4 linked regions of the Coturnix japonica genome follow. The main gene of each other region encodes a partner of the protein of the gene in region 2 in a complex. Links are inferred from orthologs where the notes say so. Each region holds a gene or a part of one and is shown on either strand. Other genes may lie near its edges. The genes, in order: APOO, CHCHD3, IMMT and MICOS13.

What was found.
Region 1: CHCHD3 (region 2) and APOO share a complex: the UniProt entries of both Homo sapiens proteins name them as parts of the mitochondrial contact site and cristae organizing system (MICOS) complex. The link is inferred for Coturnix japonica from reciprocal best matches to the Homo sapiens genes CHCHD3 and APOO.
Region 3: CHCHD3 (region 2) and IMMT share a complex: the UniProt entries of both Homo sapiens proteins name them as parts of the mitochondrial contact site and cristae organizing system (MICOS) complex. The link is inferred for Coturnix japonica from reciprocal best matches to the Homo sapiens genes CHCHD3 and IMMT.
Region 4: CHCHD3 (region 2) and MICOS13 share a complex: the UniProt entries of both Homo sapiens proteins name them as parts of the mitochondrial contact site and cristae organizing system (MICOS) complex. The link is inferred for Coturnix japonica from reciprocal best matches to the Homo sapiens genes CHCHD3 and MICOS13.

What each region holds. Positions count from the first base shown.
Region 1 is NC_029516.1:107,451,333-107,457,202, forward strand, and holds the start of APOO (MICOS complex subunit MIC26), read right to left. Parts: upstream 3,425-5,870; 5' UTR 3,331-3,424; coding exon 3,322-3,330; intron 1-3,321. UniProt on the Homo sapiens protein: Component of the MICOS complex, a large protein complex of the mitochondrial inner membrane that plays crucial roles in the maintenance of crista junctions, inner membrane architecture, and formation of contact sites to the outer membrane.
Region 2 is NC_029516.1:1,845,437-1,850,791, reverse strand, and holds part of CHCHD3 (MICOS complex subunit MIC19), read right to left. Parts: intron 4,326-5,355; coding exon 4,181-4,325; intron 1-4,180. UniProt on the Homo sapiens protein: Component of the MICOS complex, a large protein complex of the mitochondrial inner membrane that plays crucial roles in the maintenance of crista junctions, inner membrane architecture, and formation of contact sites to the outer membrane.
Region 3 is NC_029519.1:77,503,695-77,509,049, reverse strand, and holds part of IMMT (MICOS complex subunit MIC60), read left to right. Parts: intron 1-439; coding exon 440-520; intron 521-611; coding exon 612-713; intron 714-872; coding exon 873-1,009; intron 1,010-1,353; coding exon 1,354-1,457; intron 1,458-1,808; coding exon 1,809-1,944; intron 1,945-2,987; coding exon 2,988-3,117; intron 3,118-4,379; coding exon 4,380-4,394; intron 4,395-5,246; coding exon 5,247-5,355. UniProt on the Homo sapiens protein: Component of the MICOS complex, a large protein complex of the mitochondrial inner membrane that plays crucial roles in the maintenance of crista junctions, inner membrane architecture, and formation of contact sites to the outer membrane.
Region 4 is NC_029543.1:714,946-719,555, forward strand, and holds MICOS13 (MICOS complex subunit MIC13), read left to right. Parts: upstream 1-1,696; 5' UTR 1,697-1,774; coding exon 1,775-1,803; intron 1,804-1,887; coding exon 1,888-2,044; intron 2,045-2,369; coding exon 2,370-2,421; intron 2,422-2,574; coding exon 2,575-2,672; 3' UTR 2,673-2,772; downstream 2,773-4,610. Other genes in the region: HSD11B1L (hydroxysteroid 11-beta-dehydrogenase 1-like protein), read right to left, coding at 10-103, 395-486, 569-680, 939-1,069, 1,265-1,352; scaffold attachment factor B1-like, read right to left, coding at 3,094-3,223, 3,415-3,466, 3,542-3,654, 3,828-3,949, 4,371-4,413. UniProt on the Homo sapiens protein: Component of the MICOS complex, a large protein complex of the mitochondrial inner membrane that plays crucial roles in the maintenance of crista junctions, inner membrane architecture, and formation of contact sites to the outer membrane.

The sequences.
Region 1 (5,870 bases), about 110 Mb from region 2:
CTTTTTTTTCTTTTCTTTCTTTCTTTTCTTTTCTTTCTTCTTTCTTTTCTTTTCTTTTCTTTTCTTTTCTTTTCTTTTTTCTTTTCTTTTCTTTTCTTTTCTTTTCTTTTCTTTCCCCCCTGCACTCAGTACCAAAGAATTCAACATTTTATTTCTAGTTACTGAAAGCATCAGATCGATTTCTAACAATCTCAGGAACGACACAGAATCACAGAAGGAATCTCAAAGCCCACCCAGCCCCAACCCCTGCCATGGGCAGGGCTGTCCCCCACCAGCTCAGCTGCCCAGGGCCCCATCCAACCTGGCCTTGAGCAGCTCCAGGGATGAGGCACCACAGCTTCTCTGGTGAGGCACTGGCACAGGTCGCCCACAGAAGTGGTGGATGCCCCATCCCTGGAGACACTCAGGGTTAGGCTGGATGGAGCTCCAAGCACTCTGATCCAGCTTTTGATGTCCCTGTTCACTGCAGGTGAGTGCAGCCTGCCTTTGTAGGAGTAACCTCTCAGTGTCACATACTCTCACTTCTACTCTGATAAGCCCGTGCTTCAGTTGTGCAGCAGTCACAGCTCAGCCTAGCCCTGCCCGCAGCATCCATTCCCAGCAGTCTTGTTTTGGTGGCAGACACCTCTATCATGATGCAACCAACCCGACCCGTTTGGCCATTGGCCAGTCGTGCACAAGTGCAGAGCTTGGTGTGGGGTCAGCAAGTTGAACCTACTCATGAACATATTTGTGCTGACAAGCACCAGAGGGCTGTGCGGCCAGAGGGGGATGAAGGAGAAGGCAGCACAGGAACCAGGTCATAGGATCGCTTTCAGAATAAAACATGAGGGATCTGATGGATCAAAAGGTACGGAAAAACTTACTTAAAGGTGAAGTTTTTCTGTATTTGTATTTACGGACACGTTATTACAGCACTATAATGGAACACCACAAAGACTGGGGCAGCTCTGTTCAGAGCCAAGGAAAGACGGGATCAATCTGCAGTGGTGATGCTGAGAGACTTTTCACATACTCCCATTAGCCAAGATGCACAAACACCACTAACCATTCAGAACTGCAGAACATAGTTCCTCATTCTTGCCTTTTTTTTTTCACTGCAAAGCTGTTCTCTCACTGAAAAGGCAAAGGTTTTAAATGCATTTTCATTCAGAGAAATACGCTTTCAGTAAAACATTACAGAAAACTTCTGCTGCTCATATTAATCATAACACAGAAGCGCAGGAAGTCTGACCACTTCACATTTACATGTTAACCATCACAAGTCTGAGATCAAGTTCTTCTTAATGTACCATCCAAGCTACACAGCAATGACCCTCCACACTGAGTACATTCCCAGAACAGATGCTACCAATAATCAAATACCACATACACATACAAGCACAATAAATCTTGTATTCACTAGTGTGAGAGATGAGCAGTTCTGCCTCCTGCTTCCAAAGCCTACATTTGGACCTCATGTCTTAGTTCCATATTAACCTTGTATTGTCAAACCAACTCATTTAGTATCACTTAGTGTCACATTTCAGTAGAGCTGTGCCTTCAGTTTGCCTATCTTACAGCTGTTCAGTTGATACAAAAAAGAAGTACAATAGGCTCTGTCTGGGCAGTGCTCTGTATTTACTTTAATGAAATATATATGTATATATTGTTTGTTGTTTCTAATTAAAAGAATAAAGTTTACCTGAAGACACCAAAACATTCCTAAGTCAATTTTGAGTGGAAAAGATAACCACATTTCAAAGAAATACAGGATACCTCGAGGTGGAAGGGACCAACAGTGATCATGAAATCACAGAATGGCTTGGGTTGGAAGGGACTGCAAGGATCATCAAGCCCCAACCTCCCTGCTACAGGCGGGGTGACCAACCTCCACATTTAATACTAGACCAGGCTGCCCAGGGTCCCATCCAACCTGGCCTTGAACCCTCCCAGGGATGAGGCATCCACAATCTCTCTAGGCAGCCTCCTAGCTCCATACTGCCCTCCTCCGAGTTCTTAACCACAGAATGCCAACAGGAGGAATAAATCACATATTAGTTCTCAAAACAAGTGATGGAAGAGAAGTCGTGCCATATTTTTTCTCACATCTGTGGTTTCGTGTTTCACTTGTTATCATTATTATCAGCTTGTCAAAGCCCGGGAAAGAAAACAACAGAAAGGCTCCCTCACCGTACCTTCTGGGAAGGCTGATGTTTGCCGTAGCGTATGAAGGTGCTAAATACAATCAGGAATGTCAGAATCATTAAGAAAAGACAAAGCAGCTAATCCAACCTGCCCGCACTGTGCCCACTAACTACATCCCTTACTGACACAACTACACGGCTCTTCACCACCACCACAGAATCACAGAATGACCCGGGTTGGAAGGGACCTCAAGGATCATGTTGTTCCAACCCCCTTGCCTGGCAGGGCCACCAATCATCACACTTTACTAGATGATGGTTTGCCCAGGGCCCCGTCCACCTGGCCTTGAACACTCCAAGGACGGGGCATCCACAAACCTCCTGGGCAGCCTGTTCCAGGGCCTAACACTCTCCTAGTGAAGAACTTCCCCCTAACATCCAACCTAAATCTTCCCTTTTCACTTAAAACCATTTCGCCTGTGTCCTGCTATTGTCAGCCCTTTCCAAGAGTTTACTCCACTCCTGGGAGTAGAGTTCCCTTCAGATATGTGAAAGGCTGCAATGAGGTGACTCCGCAACCTTCTCTTCTCCAGGCTGAACAAGCCCAACTCCCTCAGCCTGTCCTCATAGGGGAGGTGCTCCAGCCCCCTGATCATCTTCGTGGCCCTCCTCTGGACCCTTTCCAAAACCTCCATGTCTTTTTTGTACTGAGGGCTCCACACCTGGACACAGTACAACAGATGGGGCCTCACAAGAGCACCACCGCCACCACCAAAGACAGTGACTCCACAGCCGCCCCGGGCAGCCATAACACAGCCATAGCAGTGCCATGAGCTATAAATAACGTGCTGTCTCGTATCGCGGGTCTCCGAGCTCATTGGGCAGCGCCGAGCTCCGCGCCCGCCTCGGGATCCGGTACCGCTCTTAGGGCGTCCCCTGCCGGACACACCGCGCTGCGCCGCCCCCTGACGATCCCGGCGCCTCCCTCCCTCCCGCCCGCAGACACGCCGGCTCCTCGCTGCTGCGAGGCTCCATTGGGGCTGAGGAACCCGGAGGAGGGATAGAGGGAAACGCGGGGCCGGGCCGCGGAGAGAGGCTGAGGAGTGGGGGCGAGCAGCCCCGGGGCTCCACAGCGGAGCAGGCAGACACGCGGGCGGGCAGTGACAGGCAGTGACGGCCACTAAGGGCTCCTCACCTTGAGCATGGTGCCACCCGGCTGCGGATACCCCGGCCAACCGCGTCGCAGCTATGATGGAGAACCACGCGTCGTCGCGTTGTAATCACATCACCGAGCGGCCGCTGGGTGCTTACGACACGGCCTGCGTGTATCCGCCACCGCCATGTTGTGGGCGGAACAACATGGGGTCTGCGATGTGTCTGGGAGCGGGATGCTCTTAGCCCTGGTAACTAATGACAGAATTAGAGATAACAGCCTTAAGTTGTGGCAGGAGAATTTCAGCATGGATAATAGGAAACTGAATAGGAACTGGACAGTGCTTCTCAGTGTGCTGTTTGTAAAAATAGCACAGTCCTTATTCGGTGATAGATTCAACTATTGTCAGGAGCTATAAGAGGTGAAGTAAGAAGACTGCAGGTTGTGCCTATCTTTTTAAAGCTTTATCATCTTTTTCTGTGTTACTTTACAGGCAGCAGGTGATTCTTGTGAGTTAATGGGATATTGGAAATACTTCAAACCAGTGGTATGTGTTTCAGTACCAAAACTATTAACAGGCGTTGGTAACAGATAACAGGTATTACTAAAGTGAAAGATGATATGCACGTAAGAAATGCTTTTAAATCTCTTATTACAGGTTTGATTGTAAACATTCCCTCTTTAACAAGAGTTGTATCTAAAATGTTGGTTGATGTTTAGTTGCGTCTAAATGACCTGTGATTAAAGAATACAAATGGGTCTCTTCCACCATTGAATTGTACTTATGCAGTCAGTGATACACATGGGGAAATAAGCCATCAGAGTACGGCAAACATTTCTGGAAAGGTGGTTTCCAGTATTTTTGGTAGCTTTGTGAGCAGTGCAGTGACTGGGCAGTTTGCAAAGCAGGCACATTTTTTGATGTATTTTATTCATCAATGGTATATATGATACAAATACATATTTCTGTGATTCACTGATATGCAGTGACTACACAGCAATTACAGATAGAAACGTAAATACCTGAAGAACAAAGAGCTGTCAGACTTTAAACAAAACTGAAGTTTCTGCATCTGAAGCTAAAGAATAAAGGCCTTTGGTCCGATCACCTCATGGCTGTTTCTAATGTTAGGTAAGAATCTGTACCAAGCTAGAGTTTAATTTCGCATGCAGCACCTTTCCCTCTCCTCGGTAAATAGCTTTTCTATAAACTTTTTTCTTTAATTTGGAGTTAAACTTACCTTGAACTTTTGCTTTCCATTCTTAAACACGAGTATTTTTTAAAGCATTCTGAATGTAATGCTTCTCAGAGTTGCTATTTTGGAAGCTACAGGGTTTGTAGCAATACATTGAAGAACTAAACTGAAAACTAAAGGACGGATGCTATTGCAATTTTCTTGGTGGCTTCCCACTGACCTACCTTGAACTGCATCAAAGGCACTTCTGCATTTTAGCACATGCTGTGTCATCAACTTTGTCACGTTCTAACAGCTTCCAAAACATACTTGGTGCTGTCTAAATCCTGAGCGGTGACAGGCAAATCAGATCAACGTATCCTGCAAAAAGAGCGTAATCCAATTGAATTGAGTTTCACTGTTGATAGCTCCGCTGGTTAAACACTGTCGTGTTCCTTCCATAATCCAGGTCTCTGACTTCTTACTGCAGCCATCAGTAGCTCGAGTTCCACATTTGGAATTACACCATCCCAGCACTGATGAATAATTCTTCTGCTAACAAGCAGCTGATACTACCAGCAGAGATGTCAGCTTAGAGGTGCACAGTTGGAGCACTACTAGTAGCAGTGAGAACAGAAACTAACAGGTATTTTTTGATGTTTCTTTGCACTCACCACAACAAAATCCAACTCTTCAAAATCAAATGCATCTCACATTTCTATTGAGCTGGTTACACGTAAAATGTGTTGCAACAGTTACTGGTCTCCTACATCAAATTTGTTCTTAAAAAGTTACTTTCACAGTAATGCTGAATTTCTTAGCAGGAGAAAGTATTTATCTTTGTATGAGGTATTGACTTCAGTATCTATCTGTATAAACACAAAATGTAGCACTTTATTTACCTGAATACGGACTGTATTTTAATGTTTCTAACAGTATCCACACACACTTCTAACAGTGAGAATCTATGGGACTTACCCACCTGCACATACAAAGGAAACTGCTGGAGAATGTAACCACTATGTGCTGCGCTATATCTTGCATGGTCCAGGTTAGCTGCAAATACGAAATACAGCTTCTCACACCTGTTTTTAGCAGAACAGATCATTGCAACTACAAAAAATAAAATCCAACTATACCACAGAGCTGGCATAAAACTGGAATGTATGCAGTTATCACGCTTGTTTAGGAGCAGAACTTCTCTGATGTACAGATGGTTACTTAGGTGTTACAAAGCTTGTATGCAGATTCCTTTGGCTGGAGTATTTAGTTTATTTAACTTATGCAGAGGTCAGCCTTACTCCTTGGTTTCAGAAAGCAGTACTTAGTCAAAATCCAGTTCTTTCAGAAATCAGCTAACATTTTCCAATGTTCTTCGTAATGACTGGATCAGCTCCCAGCATTAAGAACATGAAT
Region 2 (5,355 bases):
AGGTACTTCTGTGAAAGCCTGGAACAATACTTGGGGAAATATATATAATTATATTAGTATGGATACAGATTTCTAATGATAGCAGTAATCAAATTTTAATGTTATGGTTACAGCAAATGAACAGAACAATATTTCTGTGCCTCTTCAAAGGGAAATGAGACTTTAATGTCATTGGCAGCTCAATAAAACCATTTTCTAACGTATAGGGTCTTAATGACAGCTTGCTTCAGTCCAGACAGTGAAGCGAACATGTTAACAGTAAACTCCAGGTCATTACAAGGAGATGGAAATACAACAGGTCCTCTGCACTTTGGATAACTATTGATCTTTTCCTTCATGTTCTCTGTGTCTCACCGTGGCTCTCATCATGATGGAACATCAATATGCTGTTTATGGCAAAGCTACTGCATTTAAAGGCACTCAACAACACTGTGCCCAGCTCAACCATTCACAAGGCTTAGTGAAGGTCTCCAGTCACAAACAGTGGAAAGGAACATAGGTCTGCTGCCTGCATAACACCATATAAGTATTCTTGGAGTAGTCAGAAGTATGAAACATTGGCTGGTAACCCATCAGCCAATTCCCCACCTTGTACTGAGAGAGTTTCCCCTAAGAGCTTACACGGCATGTAAGTAGCTCAGCGATCATTAGCTCATCTATCATCAAGTTTCTTTCAAAGCCTTGATGAATACCACCCAGGCTTGAAGAGCTGTAGCTGGTAAAACCATCAATTTTCCCTAATGTTTTCTACTGAATCTTCAGATCAATGGCTTTGTCTGACGAAATCTCTGCAAAGAAAACTTGTGGTATGGCAGCTTCCAGAGTTCCTTCTCTTTAAAGGCACACGTGAAAGAATTAATTCAGAATTGTTTTGCTGCTGTGGGTTCATCTATCCTGATCACAGATCCCATTCCCCAGTGATATTCTGACTCTACAGTCCTTGCTGGGATTTCAGTTCCATGAACTCTGGGCTTGCAAACACACATTCTGCTCTCTGGTGACATTCCCCCTGGTTTCAAGCTAAGACAGGAGAGGTTTAGGTTAGATATCAGGAGGAAGTTTTTTACACAGAGCGTGGTGACGCACTGGAACAGGTTGCCCAGGGAGGCTGAGGATGCCCCATCCCTGGAGGCATTCAAGGCCAGGCTAGATGTGGCTCTGAGCAGCCTGATCTGGTGGTTGATGACCCTGCATATGGTGGAGGGGGTTGAAACTGGATGACCATTGTGGTCCTTTTCAACCCAGGCCATTCTATGATTCTATGATAGGGCCCGAAGTGTTAGGGATAGGTCCTGCATCAGAAGGCAGTGGGCATGAAACAGGTTGCCCAGAGCTTCAAGAAGCATTTGGACAACATGCTCAGATGTAGGGTTTGGGTTTGGGTTGGTTCTGTGTGGAGCCAGGAACTGAACTCCATGATTCTTGTGTGTCCATTCCAATTTGGGACAGTCAATGATTCTGTGACTGAACCCTTCTAGTCATACTTAATATTTTGATAAGAGAGATGATTTAGCAGAGGGCTGTTAGAGTTAGGGTACTATGATTAGGCTGCGGTTGGACTTCATGATCTTTGAGGTCTTTAACAACCCGAGTAATTCCATGATTCTTTGATTCTGGGAGGTTTGCTTTTTAACATTTAGCCTGACATGTGCTCATTCTGCTCACTTAAAAATTATCTCCAGGTTTCTTAAGGGTACACTCCTTTGCTTTACTTGCTGTCCAAGCTCAGATGGATTCCTTTAGACGTCTTTGTTGAAAATTGGAATACTTCTGCTTAAAAAGACAAATGACATCTTTCTCCTTATCACCTGAAAAGCTTCTACTCCTTTAGCTGTCAGCTTCAGCTTCATCTTACCAATTTTCTTCATCTGTATGAAGAGCCAGTGCCCATTTTTGGTGTTCTAATACTTAAAAGTTTCCTGTCTGAATCTAAGCACCAGCTGGTTTTAAATGGTTTAAGACCGGGAAATATTACTTCAATATCTAACAGTTTAATGTCTGCTTGTTAAAGCTGAATTAGCAGCCTTTATATAAAAATATTCTTCCTGTCTTACCGTATCTTTTCCTGCTCACCATTTAAACAGTTTAGCAGCAAAGGAATTAACATTGAAGATAATGCTATTGACATTTCCTAAACACCAGTTCTTTTTCCAATAAAGAATCTGACAGATGTGATCAAATCTGGGCTAAATAAAAAAATCAAGCAGCTCTCACAGTTAGCCAGCAAATGGGATCCTTCACCCCACCTGACAAATGGAGCACATAGACATATCCTCGTGTTGCAAATCTTATAAATACAACGTGGATACATTAGACGAATAAACAATAACAAACTATGGTGGAAACAAACACACAAAAAATTGCAGTAGTTTCATCAAAATTATATAGAGAACTTCACCAGAGAACTTCAAGACCTTTTAAGACCTCACAGGTGATTCCTTCAGGTAGGCAGTTCTACCTTAAAAATTCGGCAATAAGTGAAAATTGATGATACAATTAACTTAATAGCTAAATACACCCATTTCATATCATAATTAGATGTCTCTCAGGCATTTGGATGATGAGAAAGTCATCACATACTTCTCAAAAGCACAGCACTAAGTCAAAGATGCAAAGCTCAAGTTAAGTCAAGCAAATATTAAACCACAACATAACTCTTCGGTTCTCCATTAGGTTGAGACCTCAAAACTTTTATCCATTCCTCACATTAACAGCCCAAGGTTTAAAGGCATAAGGCTAAAGCTATATCTTAGACATAATTCCCCTCCATTTTCCTTTTTCCCCCCAGATATAAAAATAACAAAATATTAAGCATTAATCTAATAATTTTTATTGTTTGTTTTTAGTTTGTTTAAATTTTAAACCACAAATGGTTTGGAAAGACAGCAGAGGCAATAGATTTGTATTTGCACGGCATAGATAAAGCTACTGAAGTGACTGGTTGCCTCTCTTACCCACCAATAGCTCTTAGAAAGCTCTGAATTCATCTTTGATGCAGAGTCAAACATATATTTATGTCAAACATTTATATATATGTTGGTATAACTAATCCTCCTTATTTTAAAATGAATGCTCACTTAAGTGATTTGATACTTTTGTTCTTGAAAACACCTATCTGTTAATCATTTATACTCTGGCAACCTTAAAAGAAATCCTAAGTGATATTCATATCTCAGAGCACAACGATTATCGTTATTGGAAAGCTCAATACAGACTCAAGATAGCAAGGAAATGTTAGATAGGAAGCTATGAATTTGACAGACATTTGAAATGGCCTGAAATATACAGTTGTCAGTTTTCAAAAGAAAACAGGCAGCTGCATTTTATAACTTCTTTGTCCAGAAGCTTTTGTACAACAGCTCTATTAAAATAAGATTATTTGATACGCCATTTCTCACTAAACCAGTACCAAGTTTGAGGCAATCAACAAGAGTTAGACAATTCTTTTTGTTTTCTAGCATGAACGAGACTTCAAAATTACACTTCTCGATTCCTTGCTGACAGCCAGTTTTCAACTGAGGAATATTATGGACTTCCTTGAAATATGAAAGTAATTAACTTATGGAAGAGGGTCTTGTATTCTGCAACTCTGTGATAATCCAAGTTAGTAAACAGACTCATAGAATCATATCATAGAATGGCTTGGGTTGGAAGGCACCTCGAGGATCATGAAGCTCCAATCCCCCTGCTGTATGCAGTGCCACCAACCTCCATATTTAACACTAGCGCAGGTTGTCCAGGGCCGCATCCAACCTGGCCTTGAACACCTTCAGGGATGGACAGGGCATCCACAGCCTCTCTGTGCAGCTGTTCCAACACCTCACCACTCTCACAGTAAAGAACTTCCCTTTAACCTAAACTACCATACTATTCTTCAATCATATTCTATTATTACTCTGCTAGTCTTCTACCATACTATTCTTCTCCCTCTGAAAAGAGAAGGATATTCATATTATCCCAGGCACAAGGAGGCAAACTACACTTGTAACCTTCAGTAGAGTTTGGCTCTTTTTGTCCTTAAGACAGGGAAAATTTAGAGTAAAATGAAATGACAATATTTACCAGTAAAAAAAAGCCATCACAAGACAACATAAGCTTTCAGCTTGTATTGATAGTTTGAAACAAGTCTGAAGAGATGGATGTTCAGAAATCCAAGCACTCTACAAGATCCTGGACTTACAAAGCGCTGCGCCTTCTGACGCTCCTCTTCTGTCGCAGCTCTCTCACGAATGATGGCTCGAGTCAAATGCTCATTGGAAGAAATCCTTTCTCGTTCCAGGATCTTGCCAAACTCATCACGTACATACGCTTGTTCTTGTTTCAGTCTATGGAAGACAGAGGGAGATTTACATCAAAAGCTTATTATCTAAGTTCATTTTAAGAGATGTAAACACGATCACTTTGTGAGAAATCCCTGTACCAAATTATTACAGGCTTCTTAAAACAGCTGAGCACGAATTCACCTAAAATTCCAGATTATTTCAGATTCAAGCTTCAAAATCCAAATACACAAATTCCACAAGTCTTAGGGACACTACTTCATAAATCATATCAAGCACAGATCATTCATAAGTATGAAGCATCTTTGAGCACTATGGGTATACACAGAGCTCTGTCTGTTTCTTGAGGAGAACTCAGTTTGTTGTTTTTAAGGAAAGTTTTTTCAAGGAAATTCTTCCCTGCCTCACCATCCAACTTCCTCATAAAACAGCATTTCTTTTCTGCAGTGGGATCATGTTTTTGGTCTCCAGACACACCATAAACCCAAATGTGGTCCCTGATACAGAGCTGGAAAACAGATGAAACAATCAGAATAAACCTTTCCCAGCAATTTGAGAGGAGATGAAAAGAGCAATCAAACCTATTGCAACAGAGTTAACACAGTTACCACCAGCCCCAGAAAACCATAGAATCATAGGATGGCCTGGGGTTATAAAGGATCATAATAATCATCTAGTTTCAACCCCCTGCTTTGTGCAGGGTTGCCAGCCAACATCCCAGGCTACCCAGATCCACATCCAGCCTGGCCTTGAATGCCTCCAGGGATGGGGCATCCACAACCTCCTTGGGCAACCTGTTCCACTGTGACACCACCCTCTGGGTGAAAAGCATCCACCTAACATCTAACCTTCCCTGTCTCAGTTTAAAACCATTCTCCCTTGTCCTATCAATATCCACCCTCATAAACAGCCATTCCCCCTCCTGTTTATATGCTCCTTTCAAGTAGTGGAAGGCTACAATAAGGTCTCAACATTCACACACTGCAAAACATAACTTTACTCAAAACTGTTACCAAGTTACTCTATGTAAGCACACTGCACCTATTTTTTAATGAAAATGTGCAGGTATAAATAG
Region 3 (5,355 bases), on a different chromosome or scaffold from region 2:
GAAGTTTGCCTAGAAGGGCTTGAGCCATTTTTGCTTAGTTTTCAATTAAGTTTATTGACCTTAGAGTATTTGGAATCTAATATAAATGACTGCACTCCATAGTTCTGCATACAAGGCTCACTTTGGGTGCTGGGCTCTTGAGATATTCTATTTCTTCTTCTTAAGCAACTGCAGTATGCCTTAATTGGGATAATTGCTTGAGCTGCTTGTAAAGCCAGATTAAAAGGAACATAGAGAGTCACAGTTGGCATCTTTGTTCCCTTATCTGTCATGTCAGGTGAAGATCTGCGTGTGTGTAATTAATGCTGTCTCCTTTTCTGTAAATAATAACATGAATGTCCCAATGAAGTTCCTCCAGAGGAAAAACCCAGTGTCTGTTATTTCCCTGTTCTCACTTCAGTGCATGTGCATGTTTCAGTTCTGTAACTGTACTTAACAGCAGGCACAGCTGCAGCACAGATCATCTCTGCAACAGGGGTAGCCGCGTCAGTGCCAGCTCCGGGGATACAGCCTGAAGAAGGTGAAAAAGATTGCACGAATACCACATAGAACATCAAAATCCTGTCGCTTCAAACACATGGATCTGATGCTTAAATAATCTGCTTTTATAGGTAAAGAACATGAGGGTTCCCATGCTATAAAAGAACGATCGCCGGACGAGGTCGCGGCTCGTCTTGCCCAGCAGGACAAAGAGGAGCAAGAGAAGATCGCAGGTGAGCCCATACCTGGAGTTCTGCTACACATGCTGTAAGGGACAAAAGGATTGTTCCCAACCTCTTGTGAGCCACAGAAAATAACGTAAGGAGACACTTGAGATATAATGAATCACTTCAATGATGAGGCTGCAGTTAATTCCAGTATTTTCTTTCCAGCCCTTGCAGCAACACTGGAAGGAGCCCTGAGCTCTACGGCTCGTGTAACACTGCAGGCAATTACTGCACAGGAATCTGCTGTGCAAGCAGTGAATGCGCACTTGCAAATACTGAAGGAGGCAATGGACAACTCGGAGGTAAATTGGGCAGCTGGGGACTTGTGTTCATCGTGTAACTAAGGATAAAGTCTGAGGTTTAATGTTTGTCACAGTTTTACCTGATCTTCCCACTTGGGAAACGTTGTAGGGTTTAATAATAAAGTGCTTCTGCTTTTGACATGTCCCACTTTGTGTAGGACTGCTGCTTTCTGTTGCAGAGGGTATAATGGAGTGGTCAATCACAATGTCAAGGTTCAAAACCACAACAAAAACGATAGAAAGAAGAAATTCTTAAGAGCTTCCAGCTGTGTTGTTATTATCTGATGGGTAATTTTGTACCGTGGGCATTGTGATAACACTAATGATCGATCTGTGCTTGTCAGACTGCTGGGGAGAAGAAATCAGCTCAGTGGCGCACTCTGGAGGAGGCTCTGAAAGATCGAAGGAGGGCAGTGGATGAAGCTGCTGATGTCCTTCTGAAAGCCAAGTGAGTTCTTTGTATCTCCTACCCATACTTAAATACAGTGCTCCTTAGTTCAAGTAAGACTGAAGAAAACAATAACCCATAATCCTTCTAATATCATTTTGGATCATTTGATCATTATTATGCCTATTGTAAGAATTCAATTTGCTGCACTCTGGGTCTGTTGAGTCAATAACATCGTTGGCTTCTCCTAGCTGTGATGTAAAATTAAGTCTTACAGCACTGTTTGTTGGTTCCATTCTTCAGCAGAGCCACTCCTAAGGCTGGCTATTTATTAGATGTGTGCTCATGCATGTATGTGGTTATGCAGTAAGACCTGTATGTGTTATAATCAACAGCTTCATTTCTTTTCAGAGAAGAGTTGGAGAAGACAAAAGGTGTAATTGAGAATGCCAAGAAGGCTCAGATCCCAGGAGCCAAACCTCACATCATTGCTGCAGAGGAAAATCTTCATCATATGATAGTTGACTTGGACAATGTAGTGAAGAAGGTAACACTTCCAGCTGTTCTTCATCATCATTAGAACAAGGACTGATTGGCAGCTTGTGAGACCCCCTTTTTCCACGTCCTTTATAGCAGATCAAGTATTTCTTAGTTTAAATGCTATTTCTAAACACAATTTTCAGCTATAGTCAGTCTTTGAGCTGTGTGTGGTACCAGTGAGTTGTCTTGACAAGGACTTTGCATGAAAAGCCTGAACTCTGTCTTGGAACTCTGCAGCCAGTTTGTTCAGTGTCTGCTCTTTCCTTGGGCAGCTTTCATTTCCTTCTTTCTGATGCTGGACTTGCAGTTCCTTCTGTCTGATGCTGGACTTGCAGTTCCTTCTGTCTGATGCTGGAGTGGAATTAGGAAGATGAGACAAACTATTCAGGGTGCTGATTGGCGTAGTGTCCTCTCACTGAGTGTATCCAGTTGTTCTGGTGGTGGCTCTTGTGCAGGGCATGGGAGACATAGGGTTGGATTGCTGAGATTACTTTTTAACCTTGAAACTTGTTTCTTTGGATCTGGGGCACACCTATAATATTCATCAGGTTGGGGAGGAGTCTGCTGATGACTTTGTGGGTATATCACTTTATGGCTCAGAAAACAGGATGAAAAGTAAAGTTGAAATCATGCCCTTTTGCAGGATAATGGATTGCTCTGATGGAGGAATTTCAGTGGGGAATTTCTCTGAAGTGTGGGAGTACAGAACGCAGTGAGGGTTGGGCAGCTCCCTGCTGGGGCTGTGATGGCTGCATGCTGCTCTGATGGTAGAAAACATTCTGTAATGAAGGTGTAGAGCTGGATATCTCTAAAGGAACATATTGTGTTGGTTTTTTCTGAGCTACAGATTGACTACAGTATTACAGTGTGCGTGTGAAGAAGTGGATCTGTGTAGTTGGGGTAAATAATTACTGTGTATAAGAGGCTTGATGTCACAGGGCAGCTTTTCCCCAAGTGAGGATAAAGATCTCTGCCACTAACTCAGGTTTGATCTCAGATGACTTCAGTCTCCTTGGAAGATAAGCCAGTCTCCTTTTTTGTTTGTTACAGGTTCAGGCAGCACAGTCTGAGGCCAAGATCGTGGCTCAGTATCATGAACTTGTGGCTACGGCAAGAGAGGAGTTTCAGCGAGAACTCGAGAGCATCACCCCCGATGTGCAGCCGGGCTGGAAGGGGCTCAGTAAGTCTGCGGCGATGGCAGTCAATCGTAGAGCAGTTCATAGAGCAGCTGTAACAATGCCTGCTTTCAGGATTCCCTGATTCTGAGCTCCCTGATTCTTTCTAGATAACTGAAAGAGTGAATTCACTGCTCTTTAAATACTTCACTTATCCCAGTGTGTTAGTTCTAAAGGAGAGTGACACAGGAGTTGATCTGGAGTAACAGCCAGTGCTGCACAGAAGCAGTAAATGGCTGCGTGGTGTTTTCCAGCTGCTACAGTTCTTTGCCTGAGGTCTGACATCTGGCACACTCATGTTTTTGAGGTGCTTGGGTTTTTCAGCTGGAGCTCCTTCCTGCTTTCCTTAGAACAGATAAAAGTGAAGTGAGAAATGTGATTCAGAAGTACAGTTAGAATCTTTCTGCCTCAGTAGAGGGATAAATGTATTACTCAGAGTTGTTGGAAGGTTCAGATACCACCACAGTGTGATTGCAGGCAGGCAGGGAAGGAGTCAGGCTTGCAGTTAAATTCTTATGGCTAAAGCAAGTCAGCTCATCCTCTGTGATCCTCTTTCTTAATGGTACTTAATGCTCTAGAAATGTGAATGTTAGTCCACAAACTCATTTTCAAAGCTAAATGAAAACACCAGGCCTGTGTAACACATGGGGTTTTTGTTCTGTAAGAAGTTGGGAGAACTTACTAGGTTGAGAAACTGCAGTTTGCTGTGCTGTCTCTCTTATGTTCAATCTTCTGGGATATTAGTTCTGAAGAAAATGGGATTTGGCATCTGGAGATGGAGCTACCATTTCTAATGCAGGATAAGGGGAGGACATCCTGAGTATTGTGAGCACTGCACTGTTCTGAGAGAGGGAACATCCCGGCAGCTTCCAGGCGTTCAGTTTCACACCAGTGTGACCCTACTTAGTGTACAGGACTGACTCGATAGTGACTCTCACTGCTACCTGGGAATTTGTCTCTTACCCAACTGCTCGTTTGTAAGGACCTGGAAATTCTCAGTGTCCTGTTGCACTTCTTTACTTGTATTTCTCGCTTTGACTGAACCTAAAGGTTCATCTGTGGGTTTCCAAAGGCAGCTGTAGTGGTGGGGATGTTTGGGTTACATCTTGCTTGTAACAAGGAGGGATCTCCGGAGTCTGTTCTTGAACTCCTGCAGCCTTGGATCACTCTAGACCAGAAGCTTTTAGTTGTCCATTGTACTATTGCACGACTGACTGCTGTAGTGAATGTGCATTAACTTCTCCAACCTCTCCTCTTTCTGTTGCAGACATAACTGATCTAGGTGAGTTCCTGTAACTTTTTCTGGTCTTGTGAATATTCTCTCTTTCCTCTTTGTCCTTTTTGATGTTTGTGTGGTGCACCACTTTAATTACATGCACTATCAGCAAAGCAGTGAAAAATATCCCTGCAATATTTCAGACTGGGCTGTGCTTTGGGATCCTTGCCGCTAGTTCTGTATGTGCTGCTTAAACCAGACTTTGTCTAGCAGCTCTCACTTGCCAGGTGAGTGTGGTTTGCATTGGAAAGCCACGCTTCCACTTGCTTTGTGTATTTCAGCCAGTCACCAGCTGCTGCTGAGATCCCAATGGGAAACAGAAATGAATCCATCCTAATCAACAGTGGTTAATTCTAACTGACAGTGGTTTGCTTCAACTTTGGGCCTGATTGAGGCCGGCTCCTGCTGATACCACCAGCACATCTGGGTGCTCTGAGCTGGGTCACCAAACTGAGGGACTGAATTTGGATTTAATCTTCATGATTGATTTCCTCTCTGATTCTGAGGTTGATTTTTCTGAGCTCCTTGGTGGTGCTGCTCAGCTTTTGGGTCAGACCTGCTGCACCAGATAACAAATAGCAACATCTGACTGTGAACATTTGGCCTGGAGAGCTGCTGAACAGCATGAATTGTAGATGTGAATGATTCAAATGAACTGGAGTAATTTTTCTCCCAAGTGCTGGGAAGTTCTTATAGATTTGGTTCGGAAAGGAGCATTTGGGTGGGCTTTACCACCAATCAGTGTCTCTTAAAACGTGCTCACAGGTCAACCATGTATGGAGCCCTGGAGCTCTCCAGGGGTAGGAGGTGGGGTAGCTTCTCTGCAGCTCTTTCTAATAGCGCCTTGTTGTTTTTTAGCTGGGCAGTTATCAACAGACGACTTGAATTCCCTGATTGCACACGCGCATCGTCGCATCGACCAGCTGAACAAGGAGCTGGCTGAGCAGAGGGTCAGGGAGCAGCAGCA
Region 4 (4,610 bases), on a different chromosome or scaffold from region 2:
CACACTGACCTGAGAGGGAAGAAACCACCACCACTGAGCCCTGGTTCCTCTCCAGGGCCGGCAGAGCGGCTGATGCCAGAGCAACGTAACTAAAGAAATTGACCTGGAGGAGGAGGGGGAGGATGGAGACAGAGAGAAAATGCTTCGAGTTCAGTGAGAGCTGAAAGAAACAGAGCAGAGCTGAGAGGGAGAGTGGGGTGAGAATGGGAACGACAGGAGGAAAGGAAGGTTAAGTCAGCACAACACTGAGGTGAGTAGGGGAGGCTCCAAAGTATCAGCCTAGAAACACACACACGGTTGCCCTCGGCTGCAGGCAGAGCTCTGAATCTGCCTTCGAGCCCCTCCAGGTTGTCCCAGGAGCAGCAGAATCACAAGAACTGCTGGGAATCCTCACCTGCATGAGCCAGCGGCTGTGCTCCACATCCCCGCCCCACATCTCAAACGGGGAAGTGCCGATATGGTTCAGCACGAGGTAGTCCAGCCCTCCTGCGGGCACAGACAGCAGTCAGTAAATACAGGGGTAAATACAGCAGATATTTGGCTGTGCTGCCATTCTTGTCCCGCTTACCCAGTTTTTGGACAGCGAACTGAACCACCCTGTCGGGCTCTGAAGGTGAAGACATGTCAGCTGGGAGGTAGAAGACTTTCTTTGCTCCGAGGGTCAGACATTTCTCCATCACCTGCGAAAACAGCGCTGTGCCAATGGCTCAATGTGAGGTGGGGGGGAGGAGCAGCGATAAGGAGCAACATCGGGCTGCGGTGCTGCCCCCTGGTGGGAGAAACACGCGCTGCAACAGCGCTGCTGGGCGACAGCAACGGGGGAACCCAGCACAGGGGAACCCACATGGGGTCAGTGCAGGGGATGGCAGCACAAAACAGCCACAAAAGCCCGAAGCCCAAAGCCCGAGTCCCCGCCGTTCTGTTCCCTCCTCCCTCACCTCCCGCAGCGCCGCCTCCCTCCTGGCGGTCAGCACCATCTGAGCCCCATAGGCCGCATAGCGATAAGCCAACTGCTCCCCGATCCCGGCGCTGGCTCCGGTCAGAAGCACGCGGGCACCGGAAAGGAGCTCTGAGAACGGGACACACGGACACAGATACAGACACACAGACGGACACACGGACACAAGTGTGCGGGGAAACGGGGCACGAAGCGGCGGGTGGGGGCGGATGGAGCCGCTGCTGCAGCCGGGGCCGGTTGTGGCCGCGCTCACAGCGGGGGCTGCGTGTGACTGAGCGGCCGTTACCGAGTGTCGGACCGTGATACCTGCGTGGAACGGGTCGTCCCTGCAGCGCAAACACAGCAGCGCAGCCAGGAGCCCCGCGGCACAAAACAGCTTCGTGATGGGAACCATCGTGTGCGGGACGGGACGGGGCGGGACGGGAACGAGCTGCGGGAACGGAACGGAACGGGATCAGTGATGGGGGACGGGGGGAGTCCGAGCGGAACGGGGCGGGATGGAGGCGATAGAACGGGCTGCCCCCCCACAACGGGAAGGTGTCGGACCGGGTCAGGCCTCATCACCCCGTTATCTCGCTCATCTCCCATCATGTCGCCGCTCACAGCGCCACGTTCAGCGGGTGCGGCCCCCACTCCCCGCCCTGCGGCCCCCAGCCCCCTCACTGCCCGCCCCGACCCCTCACCCCAAGATGGCGGCGGCCGCAGCTTCCTACGTGCGCTCGTTGCCGTGGTAACGGTTGAGAAGGAAGTGGTTCTCCACTCTTCCGGTCACGTGAGGCTCCCGGCGGCCCTCGCGGCGCTGCCCTTGGTGCCGTCATGGCCGCCCGCATCGCGCCGCTCATCCGGTCAGTGACCGCGGTCAGACCCGGGATGGGAGGGACGTAACGGCGGGACCGAACCGAACCGAGTCACTGCTTTGGTCCCTGCAGGTTCGCCATCAAGGGAGGCCTGGCCGGAGCCGCCGTGTACGTGTCGTACGATCAGGGGCTGCTGGGCAGCGGGACCGAGGGGGCAGAGGCCTTAAAACGGGCCCGGGAAGCGCTACCGGCTGCGGTGAGAGAATGGAGCGGACACGTGGGATGGGAGGTGAGAGGGAGATAAGGGAGATAAGGGGAGATAAGGGGGGAGATAAGGGGGGGATAAGGAGCAGCATCGGGTCTGTTTGGACCCACAGTGACAGGGAGACCCTGAAGGAACCAGCAGCTTTTCCATATCGGATCCTATTATAAGCTGTCACGTATTTCCCCTCTGCTTTTACTGCAGCTCAGAGCCCAGAGCTCACTGATGCCCATTGACTCTCATTGATTCTCATTGATGCTCATTGATGTAGCACCAAACCCCTTTGGGCTCCGTGATCCCCCTGCCCCCCATTGCTGCCCTTCTTTCTTTCTTTCTTTCTTTCTCTCTGCAGCTCCCACCCGTTCCAACCTTGGATTTCTCCCCCTCGGATTCCTGGAATAAAGGTAAAATCCCATTTCATTATTTGTGGGAAGGGGCCAGTGCTGCAGCTTGTCATAGAACCACACACTGGCCGGGGTTGGGGTTGGTGCCACAAATCAACCTGCCATGTGCCTCCATTGCTGCTGTGCTGTGCTGACTGTCCATGTCCCTTACAGGGGTGCACACGCTGATGTCTGCCCTGTCGGTGGCTCCCAGCAGAGCGTGTGAATACACGGCTCAGGGCTGGAACTACCTCAAGGATCTCGTCAAGTGAGCTGAGCACATCCTCTGTCCCGCTCTCATTCTGTCCGTCCCGTGCTGCTCCCACAGCTCAGCCACAAGGGCTGCAATAAAAGACTTTGAAGTTCTGGTTTCATTGGGGTTGGTTTTGACAAATAGCCCCCATTGCTCCATGCCTTCATAGCAGTAGGTGCCTCAGAGACGACTGCAGCCGTGAACTGTAAACTGTTTTTTTTTTTATTTATGGAAAATGGAATGCTTCATTAACAAACAGTTTTAAATGAGGATATGAACAACACGTTACAAAACAAATGAGTTCACATTGGATCGAGTGACGTCGTATGGCAGCAGCTTAAAAAAGAAATTCCACTTACAGTGACCCACGAGCTCCAAGGGCCGGACACCCCAGGGACAAACCAACTGCAGTTGCCACGTAGCGTTAGAAATTAAAACATTCAGTAGCGACGGTTGAAGCGAGGGTCGTTGGGTCGGCTCGCTCGCTCCTGGCCGGCAAATCCCTCCCCTTGCATCCCCCCTCCGTGCATCAGCTGACTTTGGTTCCCTCCTTGCATGAACCCTCCTCGCCTGCAAAGTGGGGCAGATGGTTTGGGGTTGGTTCTCTCCAATGAAGCACAGGAATATTCTGTCATCCCTTGACATTTCAGTAACAAATTGTGTAACTGATAATCCCCTAAAATTCTCACTTAAATGCAAGGGACTCACCCTGAAAGGAAATGGAAAGCAAAGAAATGCTCTGCTCTTTTTAAGCTTCTTACCCTGACATGCCTCCACGGTGCATCACGTGGCCAGGTCTCCCTCTACCTCCACCTATAAAAGAGTGAGAGTGATTCCTCTGTGCCCACAGGAGCCGTTTTGCTTTGTGTCCATGCAGGGCAGCTTTACCTTGCCATCTCTCGTGATCCCGTCCCATCATCCCTCCATCCACGCTGCTCTGCCATGAACGCTCTTGGTGCCCTTCAAATTTCCTCCCGTGGTCCCCCCAGTCGCGGCCATCCCTGCAGGAAGAGCCTGAGTTACATCTTTGACACCTGGCACTGCTGCAGTGCAGGAGTGAGCTGGAAGAGCCACTGGTGTGCAGGGCAGGGAACGGGCTGAGGAGGGAGGTGTGTGAAAAAGAATCACGTCAAAAAGTGCATTTCCAATATTCACAATCTGCACAAGAACTGACCGTGATGGGGGGGGGATCCCTCTGCTCTCACTCATCCTCCTGTCGGAGCCGTAGCTGCCCCAGCTCTCCCGGGAGTCCCGTGAGTGGCGCTCGGGGCCTCCATGGCGCTCATCTGGGTAATGCTGCAAGGCAAAGACACGTGTGTGAGCGCACAGAACCAGCTCCATCTTTATTTCTTCCTGTTGATCTCTGTGATATTCCTCCCTGCCCAGTTTCTCTCACAATCCCACAGCTCAGCCAGCAGTAAAAGCCACCTCTCACTGCCAGCCCCTCAGGCCACAAGAGCACACCAACACCGACTGAGTTTTGCCACCTTACAGAGTTAATATTATGTTACTTGTGTCTTCTCTGAACAACCTCTCTTACCCCCCCACCTCTCTGACACACTTGTTTGCTGTGTACCACAGTAAATGTACCTGACTTTTATAGCAAGGCAATCTTGTCACTGATAGATACTCCTAGCACTATAATTTTAATTTGAAACTACAGCAAACCAGGCTGTCAGAGTTAAGACAGTTCTACAGCTTTATAAAATCAACTCACTTGTCCATCGCGATCTCCCATCATCGTCCTTGATCCATCCCTCCTACAGACAATTAAAACCAGTGGTTGGAAAACACGCTGCAGTTATTACCGTATCTATATAACAGACAGAAAATCCTCTTTCCATGTACTGCCAGCATTGCCTACAAGAGCCACAGCAGTGGGGCAGGAACACAAGGAAGCCACAACACTTGAGATTGCTGGGAAACCCAGCTAGCCCAGAAGTACAATGTCCTCCAC